3 linked regions of the Diceros bicornis minor genome follow. The protein of the gene in region 2 interacts with the protein of the main gene of each other region in a pairwise test. Links are inferred from orthologs where the notes say so. Each region holds a gene or a part of one and is shown on either strand. Other genes may lie near its edges.

Region 1 (7,222 bases), on a different chromosome or scaffold from region 2:
GCCAGAATAAAACTAGCTGTATCCAATTACTACAATGAACATGTTCAATGCCAATCGTACAGTTAGAGGAACCATTATTTAATGAAAAATAACAGCATAAGATATCTTATAAATACAGCCTGACCTGAAGTATGAATATGGATAATTCAGAGGAGTCAATTCGAAAGGCATTACTATGTTTTTAGTTTTGTAATTAACACTCTCTGTCAGGATACTCCCTGCTGGGTATCTAGGTGACTTCCTTCTGGCTTTGCCTAAGGCTTCCTCGAATATGATGAGAAGATAAAGGATGGGACCCATGCCTGCTGGATCAGAGGAATCTGAAGAGTCTCAGACTAACTCATGGTCCAAAGTAGAACTAATCCCAGAATGCCATTCTGTGGGCACTGTTTAGTGTCTTTATCTCCCACTGTGAGCCTTGCCTTGAGGGTAAGAACCTCATTATTCATTTTTGTATTCCCAGTGCCTAACACTTTGTCAAACACTTGGTAGAAAAGGTACTCAATAAATGTGTGTTCAATTTAATTAAGCTGTCTATTTCTCTTCCCCCAATCTGGATACAGAAGGAGGGAAATTCAGAAAATCAGTGGGTGCCAGGATGTCTGGGTAATAAACCACTCACAGGGACATTATTGCAATTTGGCATTAGCATTTATTCCAATCTCCTGGGGGGATTCAGGTGGCACAGCCATATACTGCCTTACTATGTGGCACAGGATTAGCGGAGAAAAATTTCTTCAAGGGGGTAAGAGAGCAGCGGATAGAGTTCATTCACTCCACAAATATCTACTGCACATCAATTGTGTGTCCCACACAATTCAAGGTGCTGGGCAGAGAAAGATGAGAAAAGCGCAGGCTCTGACCTTAAAGAATTTAACATGTAGTTAAGAAACAGCAGGGACTTGAGCATACTAGAGATTCATAGCCAAAACTGAGAATATGGTTATAAGCTATATGATCAAAATGGAAGGTTCTACCAAGAGAATTAAGAAAATAAAGGAAAAACTCATCAATATTCCTCTCTAATTTAGCATTTGGAGTTTGTTTTAAATACACTTTCTTAATTTTACAAACGAAAGAACTCAGACCTAAGTGGTTAAATTACCCACACCGGATCACTGTACTGGTTTCAGCACAGAGGTACTCATACACAGGTCTTTTGATCTCTAAACCACCGCAATGTTTATGTGAAGAAGTTTGGCCAAAGGCAGTGGTCTCAATGTGAGAAACCCAGACCAGCAGCACCAGCACCTGAGAACTTGTTAGAAATGCAAATTCTCAAGCCCCGGCCCAGACCTATTATCAGAAACTCGGGGGGTGGCCCGGTAATCTGTGTTTAATAAGGCCTTCAAGTGCTTAAGATGCATGATAAATTTGAGAAGCAGTACCTAAGGCAAAGGAAGTAAATCTGAGGTTCAAGCAGAAAGGATCCAACTTTTCCAGCGTTGGTCAAATTTAAAGGAGAGTTTGCAAAAGTAGAAAGAGTCTAGGGCTGTTATACGTTTTATGCCTGTGCCAAATTAACTGGGGAAAAAAAATGTTGTAAACCTGTAACTTACCTCATCTGTATAATTTGTAACGCCCAAGAGTCCCTCACATTGTAGTAAACCTTGCTGTGCCCTTGAACTGTCTAGTGTAATATAGTACACAGAAAGAGTTCAAAAGAGGTACAGCTGGAGAAGAAAGGGGGCAAGATTATGTATCCCAGGTGTTTGGTCCTAGGAGGAAAAATTCCCTTCCTCCCTCCAACCCTGCCCACCCTCTTATGTCAGACAGTAATAGCATAAAGTTACCTAAGACAAATGGCCACAAACCCTAACTGCTTCACTGTCACACACTTCCCACCAACAAGCCTCCCATGGCTACCCCACAACCTTTCTGAAGTGGCTTTCTGGATCAAGGCCCATGGGGCAGCTTGGAAGAGAAGCTGGGAGGAGGGATGAGGGACTCCACTAGCATTCCTTGTGGCTTCTGAGTGAGGCTGCCCTGGGTGTCACCTGCAGCGTGGACAGAGAAAAAGCAACAGTTCTAAGCCTAGCCTCTAAGCGAGAGCCTGGAGGTGGTACTGCTCCCCAGAACCAAGGTGGCTGAAAAAGAGGTAGGCCTAAGAGCCTACTTTTGAGGAGGTCAGTACAGGTACCAAGGCAGACAGGGTTATCAAATCCCAGAGACAGAATATCCAATGCCCAGAAAGATAAGAATTGGGCTGACACCTTTCCAAGATAACATTGCATGTCCATGGCATACAAACTAACAAACTTTTAGCCAAACCAGACAAGAAGCAGGGGCCCGTTTATTCTTGCTGAGGGTAACGCTGGTGTTGAGAAGAAGTGCCAAGACTGGGGAGGGGTGGGGGGGGAGGAAGTTGCAAGTGGAGACAGCAGCCACTGGCTTGAGGGGAAGCTCGGGGTCGGTCACAGTGGCAGCTGAAGAGCCACAGGCCAGATGGTCTCCAAGGCCTAGTATGATCACGGGTGATAAGATCACGGGTGAGCGTATCTGCGTGAATCTTGGAGGGGTGGTTAGTGGTGGAACGATGGGGCTCGCCTGGGCAGCGAGCCTGCGGGGGGATTCTTGAGCAATCTGAGAGGCGGGGTGAGAAAGCTGCGGGAAATAAAGGGGCTTAGACTACTCCTGCCTCGGTTCCGGGGGGCAGTTGGCGCGGAAGCATTGGGAGGTACAGACTAACTGCGTTTCTGCAGGCCTCAGGAGGGGGCGGAGGGCGGTGGCTGGAAAGAAAGAACCCTGGCGCGCCATCGCGTCTCCGGAGGTCCTGCTCAGGCCATCAGGAGACACGAGGACCACAACGCCGTGGCCCCCTCACTACACTGCCGCCGCCTCTTCCCCACGACAGTACAATCTCCCCAGGCTCCGGGGAGGCGGGGTCTTCGATCCCTCCCCCTCTTCCCAGCCCTGCCCTGCCCGGCTCAGCCCGATCCGATCCGACCCGGCCCGGCCCGGCCCCCAGCACTCACGGCTCCGACAGCTCCGGCAGCTCCTCCCCTGCCCCGGCTTGTCCCTCACCCACTCCCGGCCGAGGCAGCGCCGCCAGATCCGAGCCGCGCGGGGCCTGGCGGGTCGGAACACGTGGGGCCTTTGCGCCCGGAACCGGAAGCTGCCCTTCGCCCCGCCTCCTTGTCGGGCTGGAGCCTTTCTAGGCTTTGGGAGGTTTGGTCCTCTCTATGTGCCCAGCGAGGGTTGAGGCTCCGTGCCCCCCGGAGGATTCAGTGTGAAAAGCCAGGGGCCCAGGCCGCTTCCGGTCGCACGCCCGCTCCTGTCTGCAGCGAGCAGCCCTTCCTTTTACACACATACCTTCTGCAAGGGTTCTCTTTTCGTTTTTCTGTTCTTGATCTTTTGTTTGTTTTGATTTTGGTGCCTATACCTCTACGTATTTTTCTTGATTTTTGTTCCTTTGCGTTGTCTGCGAAGCAAGGTAGAAGAGAGAGCAGTTTAGTGTTTGAATACAGGCTCGTGCATTCGCCATCAGTTGCAGGGCCTCGGACAGATCTTTCCACCTCTCTGAACCTCAGTGCCCGTCTAAAATGGGGGTAATAATACCGTTGCTCTGAAGATGAGATGATACATTGCCTGTGAACACAGTAAACTCAGTAAGAGAATAGTTAATAGTATCATTCTTTATTTCCCTTTAAGTATTTCTGTGTGTTTCTTTACTTTGAGACTCTCTTCCCTGATCTCATTTACTCACTTTTGTCTGGGTCAATGATATTTCTGCCTGTACCTGCTATTTCCCTTTTTACTCTCTCTATCCCTTCTACCCCTTAAGTCACCACTCTCCACCTGCCACATGAGGGCCTTCTTTTCCCCAACTGTGCTTACACATTTCATTTTCATGGGACACGTTGCTGGGATCTGTTTGTGTTTGAACCCAAGGTAGCCATCATTTTTGGTGGAGGGAGGGCAATATATAGTTCATGAAAGGCTACTGTGTGCCTACTGTTTTCTCTATATATCTCATTTAATATTTTAAAATATCAAGTTAATAAATAATACATAAATATGTTCTTCTAAACATTTGAAACATTATAGATAAAGCTAATGACCTTTTACTAATCCTGGCTGCTTCATCTCTCTGACGAGTTTATTCTATTGAGTCTGGTGTGTTTATCTTCCAGAACTTTTTCTATACTTTTACATAAAATACACATGTATTCATGGAAAATACATAGTATTGTTTTATGTGTACATGCATGTATGTGTGTGTTTGTGTTGAATTCCTCAATTTGCTATTTTCTCCTAGCAATGGGCCTTGGAGACCTGTTTATAGTAGTGCATACAGATCTCTCATATTCCTTTTACTTTCTGCATAATGTTCCATAGTCTGAATAGCCATTTGCCTATTGATAATATATGTTTTTTACAATTGTTGCTGTCACACACAATGATATAATAAACATTCTCTTTGTGCATACATGCAAATGTTACTCTGGGACAGATACTGAGAAAAGATATTGCCAGGTCATGGGTTGTATACATTTAATAGATAATACCAAATTATCTTCCCAAATCAATGCACCATTTATACTCTTAACAGCAGTGTATGAGAATATTTTTCCCCATACCCATGCCATTGCTTCGTGTTGCCAAACTTGTAAATTTTGGCCAGTCTGATTGATAAAAAGTGATGTCTCGTTGTTGTACTTTGCCTTTCTGTGATTAATAGTGAAACTGAATGTCCTTTTGTACATTTATTGGTAATTTGTAGGTTTCCTATAAATTTTCCCATTTTTCTGTTGGATTTTTTTTGTCTTTTTCTTATTGATTGTTAGATGTTTTTTATGTATTCTAGATACTAATCATTTGTCATATGTGTCGCAAGTATTTTCTTCACCTTTATAGCTTATATTCTAACTATGTTTATAGTCTTAAAGTTTCAAATTTGATACACTTTTTCTCAGTGGCTTTGAATTTCATGTCTTGTTTAAGAACATTTTCTGCACACCAGAGTCATCAGGGCTTCCTCCTATATTTTCTTCTGCTACTTTTTTGTTCTCCTTTTTATGGTTAGATTTTGAATTTATTTTATTTTATTTTGTAAATGGTGTAAGTTGGGAATTCTAATCTAATATTGTCTATGGTAATTAATTTCCACTTTGAAAACATGGAGTATAAGATATTTACATAATAGAACTGCAGAGGATATAATCCATGTGTGACGTGACTTGTGTTCTGTCAGTTTAGTTATTTGGTCCTTCATCAGTGATTTATTTATTGAGCAACTACTGTTGCAGGATACTGTGGTGGGTGTATGGATTACAGTGGAGAACAAGGAAGATGAAATATCTGTCCTCATGGGGCTAACTTTCATATGGTATCTGTTTATGACATGAAGGAGCTTGGGAGGAAAGAATCAGTTTTAAATAACTTGAACAATAAGTTAATTATGATTGTGGAAGTTTCTATAAAGGAGAAGTACAGAGTGCTATGAGAGCTTATAATTGGACATCCTAATCCTGGTGGTGGTGCTGGTAGAGAGGGGTTTAGGGAAAGCTTTCTTCAGTAGTAACCTTTGAGATGAGTGCTGAAGGATGACTAGGCAGGCTGAGATTGGAGGTGGGTCTGGGAAGTGGGGTGAATAAGAATGAATATTTGAAGTAATGGGAAATAGTGTGTATGCAAGGGCCCTGAGATGGGAAGAAGCTTGGGGTATTGCAGAAACCGAGAGAAGACTAGTGTGTCTGGGGCCAGAGAGCAATAGAGAAATGTGTGATGTGGGCCTGGTATTGTGGACAGGGATAAGATCTGATAGACCAAGGGTCTTATAGACCAAATTAAGCATTATCTGTTAAAGTTAATGGGAAGCCGTAGAAGGATTTTCATTAAGTGACATGATTAGGTATACATTTTTATAAGCTCCTCTGGCCATGAAGAGAATGAAAGGGTCCAAAAGTGGATGTGGAGAGGTGATTTAGGACGCTATTATTGTAGGTCAAGCACTTGGACTAAAGCCATAGTAGTGGATATGGGGGCATTGGGTTATTATTTCTTTAACAATATTTGATAAAGAGCAAAGAACTAATTATTAGGAAAATGCTTGCTTCTGCACTTAAGATAGAGAGTATTTTGCAAAAATCAAAGAAATGGCAGGGGTAATTAGTGGAGTGAGCTCAACTGGAAGTGTGTGTAGCAGTTCTACTCTCCTAGTTGTTCAGTCCAAGCCTAGCTGAATACCAAGTATAGAAAGTGGGTGGTTCTGGAAGAGCTATATGTAAATGGCATTTTTATAATTGGAGTCATTTAAACTTGTAAGGAGAATTTGTAATTCAAAGTGGTGGTGAGCCACTTGGTCAGGCACCAGGTACTTTGGTAAATATATAATTATCTCCAAATCTTTCTGTGTTGTACTTCAGACTTTCTTGTATTGAATTTTAAAAATTTTATCTCTAAGTTAGTTGGGCATTTGTCAATATCATGGAGTTATAAGATCTTGACAAAAACAGAGATGACTTTAGAGGTACACCTTAAGGAAGACAGCGGGCAATCTTTAGTTTATGGCACATTGAGAAAAGTGGTCTGTAGCCACTTTTGGCTTGGGAAAGGCATGCACTCTTTCCTCTTCTTGGGGTTTATAGTGCATAGTAAGATCATTAGAACTGAAAAAATAAAACTGAATTTATTTCTTGTTAGGTAAGGGAGAGCTGCGTCACTCAAATATGACTTCAGTGAGTCTTTCTAAGTTAAAAGGGAAGGGGGTCAGCCCCGTGGCTTAGTGGTTAAGTGCGCTCGCTCCGCTACTGGCGGCCGGTTCGGTTGGGGCGTGCACCCACGCACCGCTTCTCCGGCCATGCTGAGGCCGCATCCCACATACAGCAACTAGAAGGATGTGCAACTATGACATACAACTATCTACTGGGGCTTTGGGGAAGGAAAAAAAAAAGGAGGAGGATTGGCAATAGATGTTAGCTCAGAGCCGGTCTTCCTCAGCAAAAAGAGGAGGATTAGCACGGATGTTAGCTCAGGGCTGATCTCCCTCACCAAAAAAAAAAAAGGGAAGGGCTAGATCTAAGATAAGGAGAGGAAGTTTTGCCCAAATATGGCAGGATTGTGAAGGCCATCATGTGATTGGTTAAAGAGAGAAATTGTAAAGTCTCCTTTTGGGATGGTCATTGCACTGATTTACATCAGTAATTATGGGCGCAGTTCTTAATAAAGTCCAAGATCATATAGCAGGAGCTTTCATATACATAAGCTTGAGATTTGGAAA
Region 2 (7,488 bases):
ATTAGAGAACCCAAATAAGGCAGAAATCTGGAAGCCTGCCTCTTTATTGCCCCAGGTGCTGACCTGGACAGCGAACCATTCTTCTGCCTCTCTGCGGTTGTTGGCCAGCACCATCTCGTACTGATGGCGCATCTCATCCAGGACCCTGTTGAGGTCGATGGTGGGGGCAGTGTCTAGCTCCACACTGAGGCAGTCACCAAGCTGTCCACGAAGCAAGCTGACTTCCTGAAAGTGGAAATGGAGTAAAGAATGTCACAGAATGGGCAGGGAGGGGGAATTCACTTTGACATCTCAATAGCCTCCCACTTCTGTTTTTTGGAGCAGGGAGTTTAGATTTAGATTCCTTAGGTTGAATCTTTTTTCACCACCAGTTTCTTCATCTGTGAAGTGGGTATAATAATTTTACCTTTTCCAGAGGGTTATGAGATATATGAGAGTTAATATATGTATAAAGCACTTACAAAAGTCCTTGGCACGTAATGAGGTCTCAATAAATGTTAGCTCTTATCATCAACAAATGTTCAAAGAGAAAATGTTCTTGGTTATATCATTTAGCTTCTCATTTTTTAGCTTCATCAATATGAGATAATCATACACTTCATATTTTATGATTTTACATAGATTATATATGCAGAATATTTAAAAATATTTGTCCAAATATTGCCTGAGTCTTTATCCCCCCCCCTTTTCAAATTGAGGTCACATTGGTTTATAACATTATATAAATTTCATGTGTACATCATTATATTTCAGCTTCTGTATAGACTGCATTATGTTCATCACCAAAAGTCTAGTTGCCATCTGTCACCATACACGTGCCCCTTTACCCCTTTTGCCCTCCCCTGGCCCCCTTCTCCTCTGGTAACCTCCAATCTGTTCTCCATATCTATGTATTTGTTTGTTTGTTTATCTTCCACATACGGAAGACTTGAAAGCAACCTAAGTGCCCATTAATGGATGAAAGGATAAAGAAGATGTGGTATATATCTACGGTGGAGTACTACTCAGCCACAAAAAAGATGAAATCTTGCCATTTGTGGCAACATGGATGGACCTTAAGGGTATTTATCCCCTTTTTGAAATGACCTTCATACTCTGTGTTTATCAGCCTGATTTTCACACTCTATGGATTAGAGTTACAAGTGGCATAAAGCCTCCAGAGAAAGCTAACTCCACAAAAGTAATGGCAGGTGATGAGTTTGGCCCCTTCATCTGGCACTGGCCAGGGGTCATTTCACATCTACATTCAGAGACACATGGGAGTGATCAGGCTGCATAGTAGTAGTGCCTCGAGTAATTTTGTTTCAGTTTAAGCCACATCTACCCAAGTGCAATTTTATATATACATAATGAAATCTATCAGTTTAACTTTGTCACTCTGAGAGCCCTTCAGCGATTTTCCACTTTCCTCACCTCTTCGTGGTTTTTCTTAAGGCAAAGAAGATCGTCCTTCAGAGACTCCACATGGGCCTCCAGATCACCTTTGCATAAGTTCAGCTCACCCAGGATCCCACGCAGGCCACTGATGTCCGTCTCCACCAGCTGGCAAAGAGACAGTTCAGACTCATACCTTTCACAGCAAAAGAGATACAGCCTGTGCTTACTTTGCTGACACTGTGCCGAGTGCTAGGGCATGCTGATGAATGACACGTGAACTCAGGGAAGCCATGTGCTGTGATTTCCTTTATATCCCAAATAATGGTAAATTCGAGCTTTGCGAGAATTCTTAGCATAAAAATATATTATATGGAGAATATTTGTGCTGTGTTTGTGTCTGTGTGTGTGCGTGTGAGAAAGATAGAGGCAACCATAAATTATTTTCAAATTCAAATTAAACTTACCTTGACTTAAAGTCATCGGCGGCCAGTTTGCAGTTGTCAAGCTGTACAGCAAGTCTAGAATTCTCTGCCTTCGTGCACAAGATCTGGAAAGTAAGTTATTATGTAATAAATGTTTTTTTGAAAGAAGCATAAGTATCTATTCATGTAACATCTATGCCATTATTTATCTCTTAAAAGTCTTTATAAGAAAGTATAAAATAGCTTTCAGCCTGCTTTTCTTATTAACCATGTCACCTCATAAGGAAAAAAACAGTGCCAATTTATAAACAAAATAGAGAAATAAAAAGGTTTAGTTTTTTAATGACCCAAGACATTTTGCAATGTTCCTTGGCAGTTGAACTCAAAATTTTCTCTGTAAGTAGTTTGTATTATGACTATGTCCCCAGCCATGATAATAACAATTCATTAATAAGAAAAGAAAATGATTACTAGGTGAAATTATATGATTAAAAAATGACATTTCAATATCTTATGCTAAAAATAATGTAGATGTACAGCCTTACATACAGAAGTAATTTTAGATTTAATAGTTTTTCATCATTCTATAGATGATAGGGTAAAGTTTAGAGGTAAGTGAGTTTATTGTGGTCAATCAGTAATTAGAGGCAGCACTGGGGCTAGTGCTGGTGTTTCCTGACTTCTAGTTAAGTACTCTGGACCCTCTACATCACATCGCCTCTTGGAAGTCCCCTTTCCCTGGCTTCCTCCATAGAACAGTAAAAAGATAAAGCAAATCAGAGATTGGGAAGGTGGAGCATTAGGGCAGTAAGGCACCAGACCTTTTGTTGGAGATCTTCAATGGTGTCAAAGTAACACTGGTAATCGGGGCACACCAATGGGATATCCTCTTCACATTGCTCTCGGATCCTGCCTTCCAGCTCTGCATTCATCTCCTCGAGGCCACGCACCTTCTCCAGGTAGTTGGCCAGTCTGTCATTCAGGAACTGCATCATTTCCTTCTCATTGCTGTTGAACACCCCATCCTCACACCAAGCACAGTTCCCCACCAAGCACGGAACATTACAACTCCCAGCAAAGTGGCGTGGCACGAAGCAGCCGGCTGGCAAGTGAGACCTGGATAGGAAACTAGGGGTCTGGCATCTGGATGCAGCACAGGCGCTGGGGAGACAAGTGGTTTCCACGGGACAGGTAGAAGCAAACGCACAATCAGAAGCCCTGGCACAGGATTCAGAAGAGCTGCCCGTGGGGGAGCTGTCAGAAGTCATCCTGTTAGAAGTGAAGAGCAAAGACTAGTTCCAAAACTCCAGTTGCCTGGCTCCAAAATCTCCTTCCCTGCTGAGACTTTTATATAGCCCCCAAATGGGTATTTACAGAATGCACCGGATGTTTTCTTTATCGCTGTTGGTGCCAGTTTTCATGTGAACATTCATTAGCGTTGTTTATTTGCTGACAGAGTTTTATGCCTCATAAAAGAAGCATAACTTCAGGTTACTAAATAAGGTCACTATTTCCATGTGCCAGTGGGATAAAATGCTTGCTTCAGAAAATCTTCATAGGAAGCATTGTCCTTTTGTCAGAATAAGGAAAGAAAGAAAATGTGGCCAATGAGTAATTATAGATACAACTGATTATCAATATGGAAAATAATATTCCCATAGATTTTGATCCTGTTCATTGAAAATTATTTATTGTCTCCTTTTAAAGTTAATATTACAACTCATTAAATGCCATTTGTTTGTGCCATCACCATAAAAATGTTTCGTGTAATTAGCAATCTTTGCAATGCTTTTTGTGGTCTTGCTGTGCTCATGTGGTGGAGGAGTGAGGTGGAACTGGGTTTAAGGTGTGTGTGTGTGTGTGCGTGTGTGTGTGTTTGAACCAGATCTGCCTGTGTGCAAATTGAAAAGTCACTTTACACAACTGATGGGCATAATTTGTGCCCCCCCAGGCCAGAATATAAAATGGTTATCAAGACCTGGAGTTATGATCTTTGATTTCCTGACACTTGCCTTCTCCACATTTCCTGTGCCTCATGGGAAACTGAACTTTCATTGATTACACTTCAGAGTAGGGGCAAGGATGCTACAGAAGGCTTTTCTTCCGAGATATGGAACCTGCTTTCTCTTATTTATTTTTGAAGGCCTCAATTTCATGAAAATTTAAAATACTGGAACTGGGGAATAAAACTCTATGATGAGGGTTCCAGATCAGCAATTCCGTTGGAGGAAATCCCTGGTGCAGTACCGAACGGCTAGGGATTTGAGATGTAGCTATTTTAGATTTCCCCTTGAATTTCATCTCCATTATGAAGCATAATCTGTTTCACTTTGCTTGCCTTCAGTTGTGGTTGTTTGATTCTGTAATATGCCCTTACCTCAGAACATCCACTTACTGCTGCCAGAATCATTTCTGTAAAATACAAAGCTACTTTTTGTCACTCTCCACTTATAAAGTCCAAACTTCCTAGATTGACAAATATGACCTTCCTTAATCTGGTCCAATTTACCTTTCTAGCTGATTTCCTGATACTGTCTCATCCTTCAGGCTCTGTTGGTGCTGTTGCCTTGGCCTAATGCTCTTCTACCATCCTTTCCTGGGTGAACCCACGTGTCAAGACTCGGCTGCCGTGGCATTCAACTGCCTCACATTGAGGTGGCGGCTCTTTCCAGAGCATTTTGCACACACCTCCACTTATGTCACGTTGCTTTAAAATTTTTATGTTTGTGCCTTTTTTTTTTTTTTTGACAGTGTCTCTTTTAAGACGGGTGTATCTTATTTGTCTTCTTACCCTCAGCACTTGGGACATAATATAATAGACCCTTAATAAATGTTTGCTAAAAATATAACCACTTGGCTTAACAGAGGTTTCTGTCTTAACACATGATTCCTTATGAAAGAAATTTAACACTGAAAGACAAGGAGAATTGGCGGAGGACGAAGAACACTGTCTTAGTGGACATAGTATTTATATTCTAGTCCCAATGCTGTTACTTACTAGCTGTATTATCTTCATCTAGTCGTGTAGCCCCTTGGGGCCTTAGTTAGTCCTCACTGTAAAGTGGGAAGAATAATACCTGTCACTTCTACAGTATAGTGTTGTCAAGAAATAAACAATATGAGTATCTCTCACTTAATAGATAATAAAATATAATGCCAGTGTAAGATCTCCAATTTATGAGTCTTGGTCCCCAATGCCTCCATAGTTGTCAAATACATATTCTTTTTGTTCCTCCATTTTTTTTATTGAGATAAAATTTACATATAGTGAAATGCAGTTTTGACAAATGCATATACCTATGTAACCATCACCCCAGTCAAGATATCTAACATTTCCATGACACCAGAATGTTCCCTTGTGCTCATTTTCACTCAATCCCCACCTCCCAAAGGTAAACACTGTGCTGGTTCCTATTACTATAGATGGCTATTCTCTATTTGTGAATTTCATGAGTAAAACTACACAGCGTGCATACTTTTGTATCTGGTTTCTTTCACTCAGCATCATGATTTTTAATTCACCCATGTTGTCGCTTGCTTCAGCAGTTTGTTCTTTTTTTTTTTAATTGCTGAGGAGTATTTCATTTGTCGACACAAATAACCAGTAACCATTCTATACATAGGAGAGATAAGGTGAATTTTACTTGAGCCAGGAAGGCAGTCTTGACAAAGGGAGAAAGTGTTCCAGAGAAGCGCGGTTTGCAGCGTGATAATATCCCATTTCAGAACAAAGAACATACATCAAGCCTGACAAGGATACGTTTTTTTCCTCAAAGTCACAAGGAGGTATTTTGCTGCAGTTTCGCATGTGTGCGGCAGGTCAACTTGACCCTGATTTCTGTCAAGAAAAATTTACCTTCAAAAGAGCACTGGTATTGACGTCAGAGGAAGGGAGGTATCCGTCCCTATCCTCAGACAGTGCATCCTTTGCTTTGGGGTAATGTTTAATGTTTAAAGCAGATGTACAATGCATGTTTGACAGGTCATAAGTCAGGCTGCTCTAGGGAAAACAAGTTTAGGCTGAATCAGGTTTAAGCCAGAATGGCTTCCCTACACATCTCAACATGTGACAATTTCTTATTATTTTGATTATTTTCATCACATTGTATGAATATACTACAATTTGTTTGTCCATTCTTCTTTGGATGAACATTTGGGTTATTTTTTGTTTGAGGCTACTATGAATAAAACTTCTATAGACATTCTTGTACAAATATTTTTGTGGATATATATTTTCATTTCTCTTGGGTAAATATCTAGAGTAGAATGGTTGAGTCATGGAATTGGTACATGTTTCTTTTTATAAGAAACTACCAGACTTTTTTCCAAAATGATTATACTCTTTTACACTCTTACCAACAATGTATGAAAGATTTAGTTCTATACCTTCACTAACATTTGATGTTGTCAGACATTTTAATTATAGACATTTTAGTCAGTGTAAAGTGTCATCTCATAGTTTAATTTACATTTCTCTAATGACTAACGAAGTTGAGCAACTTTTTATGCATTTATTGGCCATTTGGGTATCTTCTTTTGTGAAGCAGCTATTCCAGTCTTTTGTGTATTTGTCATGGGCTGTTTGTCCAAGAGAAAGTAGTTGCCTGACAATATATTTGCTTGACAAAATATTCTCTACTGTCCCTCTGCACTTAACATTGCTGGTGGTTTTTTTTTTTTTTTCGTGAGGAAGATCAGCCCTGAGCTAACATCCATGCCAATCCTCCTCTTTTTTTTCCCTTTTTCTCCCCAAAGCCCCAGCAGATAGTTGTATGTCATAGTTGCACATCCTTCTTAGTTGCTGTATGTGGGACACCACCTCAGCATGGCCGGACAAGCGGTGTGTCAGTGCGCGCCCAGGATCTGAACCCCGGCCACCAGTAGCGGAGCACACGCACTTAACCGCTAAGCCACGGGGCCGGCCCCCTCCTGGTGTTCTTTAATGCTCCCTGTGGGTCTGAGATTTCATCTCGTATAATTTACTCTTTTAAACCAAAAGGACTTCCTTTAGTGTTTCTCACAGTGTAGGCTTTCAGACAATGCTTTTTATCAGCTTTATTTATCTAAAAATGTTTTCATTTTTCCTTCAATTTTGAATGTTGTTTTTGCAAACTATAGAATTCTGAATTAATATTTTTTTTTCCTTCAGGACTTTAAAAATGAGGTTTCATTGTCCTCTGACCTCCATTTTATCTGAATAGAAGTCTGGCAACCTTTTTCTCTTTGGTACCCTCTATTTAATGTGTATTTTTCCTTCCTATTTCTTTTAAGATAGTCTATTGATCTTTGTTATTTAGCAGTTTGACTCTATCTGTGTGATGTGTGTGTGTGTGTTTAGGTTGTGTTTATCCTGCTTCGGGTTTGTTGAGATTGTTGAATTGTAGGCTAATAAAATAAATCACTAAATTTGGAAAAATTTCAGCCCTTTTTTCCCTCAATTTTTCTGCCCCACTTTCTATCTTATCATTCTGGAACTCCAATTTCACATGTGTTGGGCCACTTGATACTGTCCCACGGGCTGCTCAGGTTCTGTTTTTTTATTTTTTTTTCCATCTTTTTCTTTCAATGTTTTACTTTTGATAATTTTGATCTATCTTAATTATTTTGAGCTATCTTAATTCATCGATTTCAATAATTGGCAGTTTCCAATCTGCTATTAAGGCCATCTATTAAATTCTTTATTTCAGAT
Region 3 (7,113 bases), on a different chromosome or scaffold from region 2:
AGCCTCCAATGTCTACACTCCCCGGGCTCACTCCACTCCAGCCATTCTGGCCTCCTAGCTGGCCTCTGAGCAATCCACACCTGTTCCTGCCTCAGGGCCTTTGCACTTGCAGTTCCCTCTGCTCAGAATGCCCTGGGCTGGCTCTTCTCATTTCTCAAGCCTCAGCTCAGACAGCACCTCCTCCCTGCTTGCCCTGGCTGAGAGATCATATCCCATCCCTCTCGACCCCCAACTCCACTTTACCTTCACTGCCCACATCACCACTGCATCATATGTTTATCTGTGTCCTCATTTACTGTCTGTCACTTCTACCAGAGTCTACTACTCCCAGAGAACAGTGACCACTTCCGTCTGGTTCGCAGCTGTGTGCCAGCACTGACAACAGAGCCCAGCCCACAGCAGGTGCTCAGTCAACGTCTGGGGAGTGAGCATGCAGGTGAGGAGACAAAGGAGGCAGGAATAACGCCCAGGGCTCCAACGTGGGCAGCTGCATGGATGGCAGTGTCACTCGCCGAGATGGAGAGAGAGCAGATGGAGGGAGAGTCTGCAGTGGCTGTGGGACTTCCAAGGTGTCTCCGAGGCCAGCAGATCTCCAGATAAGTCCCCTGGACTGCGGTATAAATTTGAGAGTCACCGGCACACTGACGTGAATCAAAGCCTGCCCCGGGAGAGGGACAGTATGCCTGAGGGGCCAGCATCCAAAGGGAGGGCAGCAGCGGAGGGGCCAGCAGACAGTGAGGGAAACAGGGGGCCGAAGGAAGCCTGCTGAGAAGTGTGCTAGTGGCCTCAGCAGCTGCAGAGAAACAAGAAAGACAGGGCGGAGGAGTGTCCACGGAGGGCTTTCTGTCAGCTGAACGTGGCCACGCTGGTTTCCTTGGTAATCAGAGGCTCTGGCTGGCAGAGAGCTGTGTGGTAGTGAATTTCCTGATGTGCCATTACCTTACTTCTGATTAAACGCAGTCTGCGCATGAGGCAAACTTCCAAAACATGAGGTCCGTGGGGAGTGGAATAATAAATGGCATGACGGTTGCTGAGGCCGGGAAGGGAGCCCCCGGCTGCCTCGGGAGCCTCCCGAAAGGCAGGTTGATCCTGCTTCTCCCGGGCTACAATCCCCCTGCGGTGGCTCCTCCTTCCTGGGATCAAAGTGGTCCCCTCTGGCCCTTTCTCCTGTCCGGACACCTTTAACACCCATGGCCCTCCTGGTGCCATCCACCAGGCTCCAGCCTTACGTAGGACTTCCTGCTTGCCAGCCCCAGTGGGCTGCCCCTCACCCCTCGGGCCCACTGAGATGCTTCCTTGTCCACCTGTCTGCCACTTGGTCACCTTTCCAGCTCCCCCATCTCCCTCCTCCAGGAAGCCTTCCGTAACCACTTCTCCTTCTGCCAGCCAAAACTGAGGTTAGGCAACTGCATTCCCTGGGGCCTTGTCCATGCCCTGTGGCTAACCGGATCTGACCGTCTGGATCCATGCGGCTGCTTCCACACGTCTCCCCTGCCAGAACGTGAGGCCCACAGGGTCTAACGCGGACTGTGGGCCCTGGGTGCTGCTGAGCCTCTCTCATGCGCGGCTCAGCGAGTTCACACAATAATGCCACGGAAGCCTCCTCTGACTAATGAGGAAAGTGAGGCTCAGAGAGGAGCAGGCACTTGCCTGAGGTCACACAGCTGAGCAGCAAAGCTGGGTTTTGAGCTCAGCCCTGACTCCACAGTCACCGCGAGATGGTCAGCATGCGGCTCAGTGCACGTAGGAGCTCGTGAAATCTTTGCTGAAGGAACGAGTGATTGGAGACAGGCAGCCTTTGGGACCTCTAAGGACACGGTGGCTGGGGTGGAAGCAAGAACACGTGCTACAAGGACTCAGGGAACACTGCACCCACCCCGCCCCTGGCCTGCCCTGTGTCTTTCCTTGCCTCTAAGAAGGTGGGGGGAAGGAAGCCCAGCACTGGGCCTCACTGGATGTTGACTTTGGGTGCCATCCAAGGCAGGCAACCCACTCAGGGGACTCCAGGGAAGTGCTGGGGGTGGGGAGTGGGGCAGGAAGGGGCAGCCACTTCTCCTCACACCCCACTGCTTCTGAGCTAACTCCTCCCTGCCCCACCTGGGCCTGACACCCACGTCTCCTCCCAGATTGATGTGGGACGCGTTGAACATTGTTGAACCTGTACTTGTTGCTCCCAGGTGCAAGAGGCCAGATCCTCACTTGCTTCCAGCCAGGATGGACTTGGGGAAGGGCGGCAGCCCACTTCTGAGAGGCGTCAAGATCCCTCCTCTCAGACTTAGAGACCTGCCTGGCATTTAGTAGGTCCTCCTCAGACACCAGCTGAATGAACAAATGATTCTGGGTTCGACGCCTAGACCTGTCACTTCTCTGTGACCGGTGTGACCTTGGGCACGCTGCGTCACCTCTCTGTGCCTCACTTTCTCCCTCTGTAAAGTGTCGCTGCCACCACCTACCGCACCTAATCCTTGTCACTCAATGTCACAACGAAGGAACGCTAAGACATACCTACAGGGACCGGCACAGAGAACTCGCCAGAGAAGCAGAAGCTACGTCCCTGAGAGGGCGGGACTGGCCCGAGGGCACACTGTCCTCGTCACGCCTCGCGACGTCGGGCCAAGGGTCGCGCAGCTTCGACGCCGGCTGCAGCCCGCCCTCGCCGCGGCCTCGGTCTTCCGGGGGCCCCCACCGAGACTGGAGCCCCCAGCCCACGGGGGTCAGGGGTGTCGTGCAGCCGGTTACCTAGCAACAGCGGCAGCCCACCGCGTTACCCAGCAACAGGGTGCGGACAGACGACCCTGCCTGGTTACCTAGCAACAGGGTGCGGCCCTCAGGCGAGGCCGACTGGCTTCCTTGCCCAAGACCAGGCTGGGTCCCATTGGCCGTCCCTAAGCAACAGGGTGGGTCCCCACGGGGCGCGGCCCCCGCCGGTTGCCTGGCAACGGGGAGGGTGGGGAGCCCTCCGTACCTTGCCCTTCAGGTCCAGCACGTAAACGGCGCTGGCGGACATGGCGGTGCGGGAAGCCTCGGCAGCGGCCGAGGGCGGCGGCGACGGCGGCAACCGCCAGGCGTTGAGCAAGGCCGGGCGCGAGCCGCCACTGTTCGCCTCCACTTCCGGTCCGGGGAGCCGCGCGCGGACCGTTAGGTCCGGTCGGGGAGGAGGGGCCAGGAGTGCGCGGGCGCAGGGCGGAGTATGCGCAGGCGCAGTGCGCTCTACGTGCTCTTATTTCCCGCTTCCGCCTCAAGCATCCCGGAAGTAAGGTCCAGAGGGACGAGGTCGGGCGGGGCCGAGTGAAGCAGGGCATCCTCCAGCTTCCCGCCTGGGCCCCGAAGCCATGGCAGCTGGAAACCCCGCTGTGGGCCAAATTAGGTGAGAGATCCCGGTGGTGGAACCCACCTAGGGCCCAGCCCTATGGTACTCATAGTCTGGTGGGGGAGTCTAGGAAACAATCATATACAGTCGCCATTGCGAAATGCTGTATGGGGAGAAGTAAGGAGGTAGTTACTTGGAAAGAGGTCAGACTCTCTGAATGGCAGTCAAGGCTTATCAACAGTCACTATCTGTCACCTGTCAGTGTCAACATTCGTCAGTGAACAGGCGTGCCTGTTTATTGCTTGGAATGATCTCCTAAAAACCTCCCCCCACTGAACCTAGGCGAAAAGCACGTGTTTCATTTCTGTAGTTAGTGCCCACGGTGGGTAATGCAAATCGTGACCTCTCATTAATCAATTGAATATCTCATTTGGTTTTATGAACACTCAGGCTGTGGAGAAATGTCTGCATTCTGTCCCAATGAACCATCACACTGCTTTGGGGATCCCAACCGTGCAGTATCAGAACCATTTACTCAGGCTGCCTGCCTTTCACTCATCTCTGTTTGGGGGCTCTGAAAGATGGCATTTGCAATAGATCCTCCACTTAGGATAAATGTAAGTGCAGGAAAATCCAGAGAAGAAAACTAATATCTGAAGACTACCAAGTAAATCCTGGGCTGGAAGCATTCTTGCACAAAGCAGCCAATGGAGGCCTTTTGACAATTATTGGGTAAGAAACCCTATTGTACCTAGCCTCATACTTTGCCCAGTTTGTTGCAATGTTTTAGAAAAACATGTCTTTTTTAAATTACAAAACTGTACATCTCACTGAAGAAAAAGTGAGTAAATGCCAAAAATTATAAGGCAAAAAGAAAAGCCACCCAGGAAAGGTGACTCTTCTCATTACAGAGCATCTCCTTTCAGCCTTGCTCTGTGCCTCTGTCAAGGAGGCTGGGGGGAAGACATTGTACAAGTCTTTTGAGGAAACAAAGATTCCCAAGTGCCAAGAGTACCACCACGGTAAACACTCTTCACACTTAAATTACTTGTAACTTCCTTTTCTCCATAAGTGGGGGAATTCGAGTCACATCTGAATTTCATCCTTGGCATTTATGTGTAATGTATAAGCCAGATTTGACCTCTGCAACATCTCAGAAAAGACCATACCTGTTGTGGTAGACCAGGGTTTCTCAAACTTTGCTGCATATTAAGGTCACCTGGAGAGCTCTGAAAACTCGCAATGACCGAACCCCACCCCAGGCAGCATCAGTGGTTCCTAATGCTCTCAGGAGAGTCTAACATACAGCATAAATTGAGAACCACTGTGGTAGATTGTAACAGTGATGGCCCCCAATAAACCACACCTCCTGGTCTTCATGCCCTTGTGTAGTTCCGAGACTCTGGGTTTGACAACGTGACTTGTGTTGGCCAATGGAACAGGCTATGTGGAGAGCAGTCTTGGGGGATGAGATGCCATCTTGGACTTTCTGGCCCCAAGGAAGCCAATGCAGCTACACATGTGTACTAAGCTACACCTCAGGGAGCAGACCCACCCAGATGAGCACTGTCAACCCCCAGAATCGGGAGAGAGAACTCCTGTTGTAAGCCACTCTGTTCTGGAGTGGTGTGTTAGGCAGAATTAGGATGTCTATCTTCCACTGTACTGACACAGGCTTTTCCAGCACCACATCACGCTCACAGACCTGCACCGCTGGCTCAGGGATAGAAAAGCCCTGACCCCAATGCTGGGGCACGCTGGGGGAATCTGCCCAAAGGAGCCACTGCTAATGAGAGGATGTCACCTCTCTCAAGTGGGCCACGAACCACAAGTAGAAACACATCATCCAAATTTTTCCAAATTGAGGGTGAAGAGTCGTTTCGCAGTATGCACATTCTTCATATGGGATAAACCCTTAAAAGGCAGCGTGTCTAGTGATAATCTAACAGCCTATAAGTAAGACACTCAGACTTACATTTCATAACTGGTTTTTGCTTTATTCTGCAGTTCACTTGTGACAGCCCCAGACCCAACACCCGATGTTTCTATTCTGACTGGTCCTCTTGCACTGTGTGCGTCAGTTCTCACAGTAGCATAAGCAGTTCCATCCTCAGCCGGTGGGTGCACGCAGGCCCTCCAAGATCCTCGCTCTCCAGCACCAGAACCTGGGTCCTCCCGTTTGACTGCACCCCTACCCGTCTGTCTGTGCGGGGCTCTGCCCTGCTCCTGTCACCCCTGAGGTGTCCTTAGGCCAGGAATGCCCAATAGGTTCCATGTTATGTGCCAACTCTGAATAAATACGGGGGGTCAGCTTGGAGCCCAGGGTTGAGGGTAGTGAGGCAGGCTGTGTCTGGGTTCCAATACAAAGAATGCTGTGCTTGATTAGTAATATCCATGGCAACACTCACTAGACATGTCTGAAATAGGGTTACTGGGGAAGAGGAATGCTGGCCACCAGCTCAGCTCAGAAAGGGACGAGGCATGTGTTCTATCCTTAGACAGTTGTTCTGCTTCCCAGGCTGCATTGTCTCACTGGCCAGGTGGCTGAGGAGGCAGTCTGCAGGCCACGAAGCTGCCAGTGGCTTCCCCAGGCCCTGGATGGAACAGCATAAGCCCCAAGCTAGAGGGAGCTTGGAAGGGCAGGCAATGCAGGGCCCCACAAGGGGCTGCATTGCAGGCCTGCTGGCATTAACTCCTTATCCTATGGAGTCAGTTTCATCCAGGCAAAGAGAGCTGGCCAGCTGTCAGAGAGAGTGACATGCAACTCAGGGGCAAAAACGCTTTTCCACAGCACTTACATAGAAATAACCTTTATCTCTGGGTAAACTCTTAAAAATTTCCAGTCCAAACTGAAAACGTTTATCTTCTACTGAGAAACCAAAATAGGGTAAAAGGGCAATCTTACTTTCATTGAGGTCTAGAATGAGGGCACACTGCTTTGAAAAGCACTGTCTCAACAGAGGACGCAAAGTGTGTGTAAAAGAATGTTTCTAAAAAATACCAAAGGCACCAAACATAACCCCAACTTCGCCTTCTGCTTCCCCTTGATGCCACTCCACCTCCCGGGCCAGGAGGCTACTTGGTCCAGCTGACTTTGGGAATGTCATAGTGCTCCGTCAGCGTATCCAGGTGTCTGTTGAAGTCCTGGGAAAGCAAAGGAGAAAGCCCACGTCAGCACAGCCCCACGCAGGGCATCAGGGATGTGTGGTGCTGCCCACCGCACTTCTCCACGTCCTGTCTCTCCTCAGAGCACCCCTCCTCTCAAGGCCACTCTGCCAGGCCTTAGAAACTCCTGAACCCTGGGCTCTCCCTTCAGTGACCCCCGGGTAGCCGTCACTTCTGTTGGGTACACTCTCCTCCCCGCCAACACTCCAGTGGCTCTTCTGCCAGGCTCCTAGCCTCTGGGGCCCTAGATGGCTCCATCTCCCCACTGGGCACATGACTTACCTCCACTCTCTGCTTGTGGGTTTTGGATGCTTTCTTCAGGATCCTTTCCATTTGCTGGAGAGAAGAGAAACAGGTGAGTTCACATGCCTGACGCAGCCCAGGCCAACACGGGATGGAAGATGGGAGCCCCAGTCAGCCTGGCTCTCACACCTAGAAAGGCCAGAGGTCTCAGGGTGTGCACCTTGCCCTTGCCTCAGCTCCACTCAGACTGCTCTGACAGGGAGGCCTGGCCGCAACATATCCCACCAGGAGCCCGGGTCAGCTGCGCTCCGGTCTGAGGGGCAGGAAATGAACCAGCACCAACTGAGCACATACCCACAAGCAGACTGATGGGAGCTCTACATGTGCTTCCTGCT

What was found. The genes of interacting proteins can lie anywhere in the genome.
Region 1: the proteins of KRT40 (region 2) and ZNF202 interact in binary tests that used the Homo sapiens proteins (3 or more experiments, as listed by UniProt). The two-hybrid records come from large-scale screens. The link is inferred for Diceros bicornis minor from reciprocal best matches to the Homo sapiens genes KRT40 and ZNF202.
Region 3: the proteins of KRT40 (region 2) and AP1M1 interact in binary tests that used the Homo sapiens proteins (3 or more experiments, as listed by UniProt). The two-hybrid records come from large-scale screens. The link is inferred for Diceros bicornis minor from reciprocal best matches to the Homo sapiens genes KRT40 and AP1M1.

Annotation. Positions count from the first base shown.
Region 1 is NC_080746.1:13,749,348-13,756,569, reverse strand, and holds the start of ZNF202 (zinc finger protein 202), read right to left. Parts: upstream 3,085-7,222; 5' UTR 2,976-3,084; intron 2,796-2,975; exon of another isoform or gene 1,875-2,795; intron 1-1,874. UniProt on the Homo sapiens protein: Transcriptional repressor that binds to elements found predominantly in genes that participate in lipid metabolism.
Region 2 is NC_080757.1:40,394,501-40,401,988, forward strand, and holds the start of KRT40 (keratin, type I cytoskeletal 40), read right to left. Parts: upstream 3,068-7,488; coding exon 2,621-3,067; intron 1,925-2,620; coding exon 1,842-1,924; intron 1,571-1,841; coding exon 1,414-1,570; intron 226-1,413; coding exon 64-225; intron 1-63. UniProt on the Homo sapiens protein: May play a role in late hair differentiation.
Region 3 is NC_080759.1:4,410,768-4,417,880, reverse strand, and holds the start of AP1M1 (AP-1 complex subunit mu-1), read right to left. Parts: upstream 3,085-7,113; 5' UTR 3,008-3,084; coding exon 2,966-3,007; intron 1-2,965. Other genes in the region: protein FAM32A, read right to left, coding at 6,386-6,454, 6,758-6,811. UniProt on the Homo sapiens protein: Subunit of clathrin-associated adaptor protein complex 1 that plays a role in protein sorting in the trans-Golgi network (TGN) and endosomes.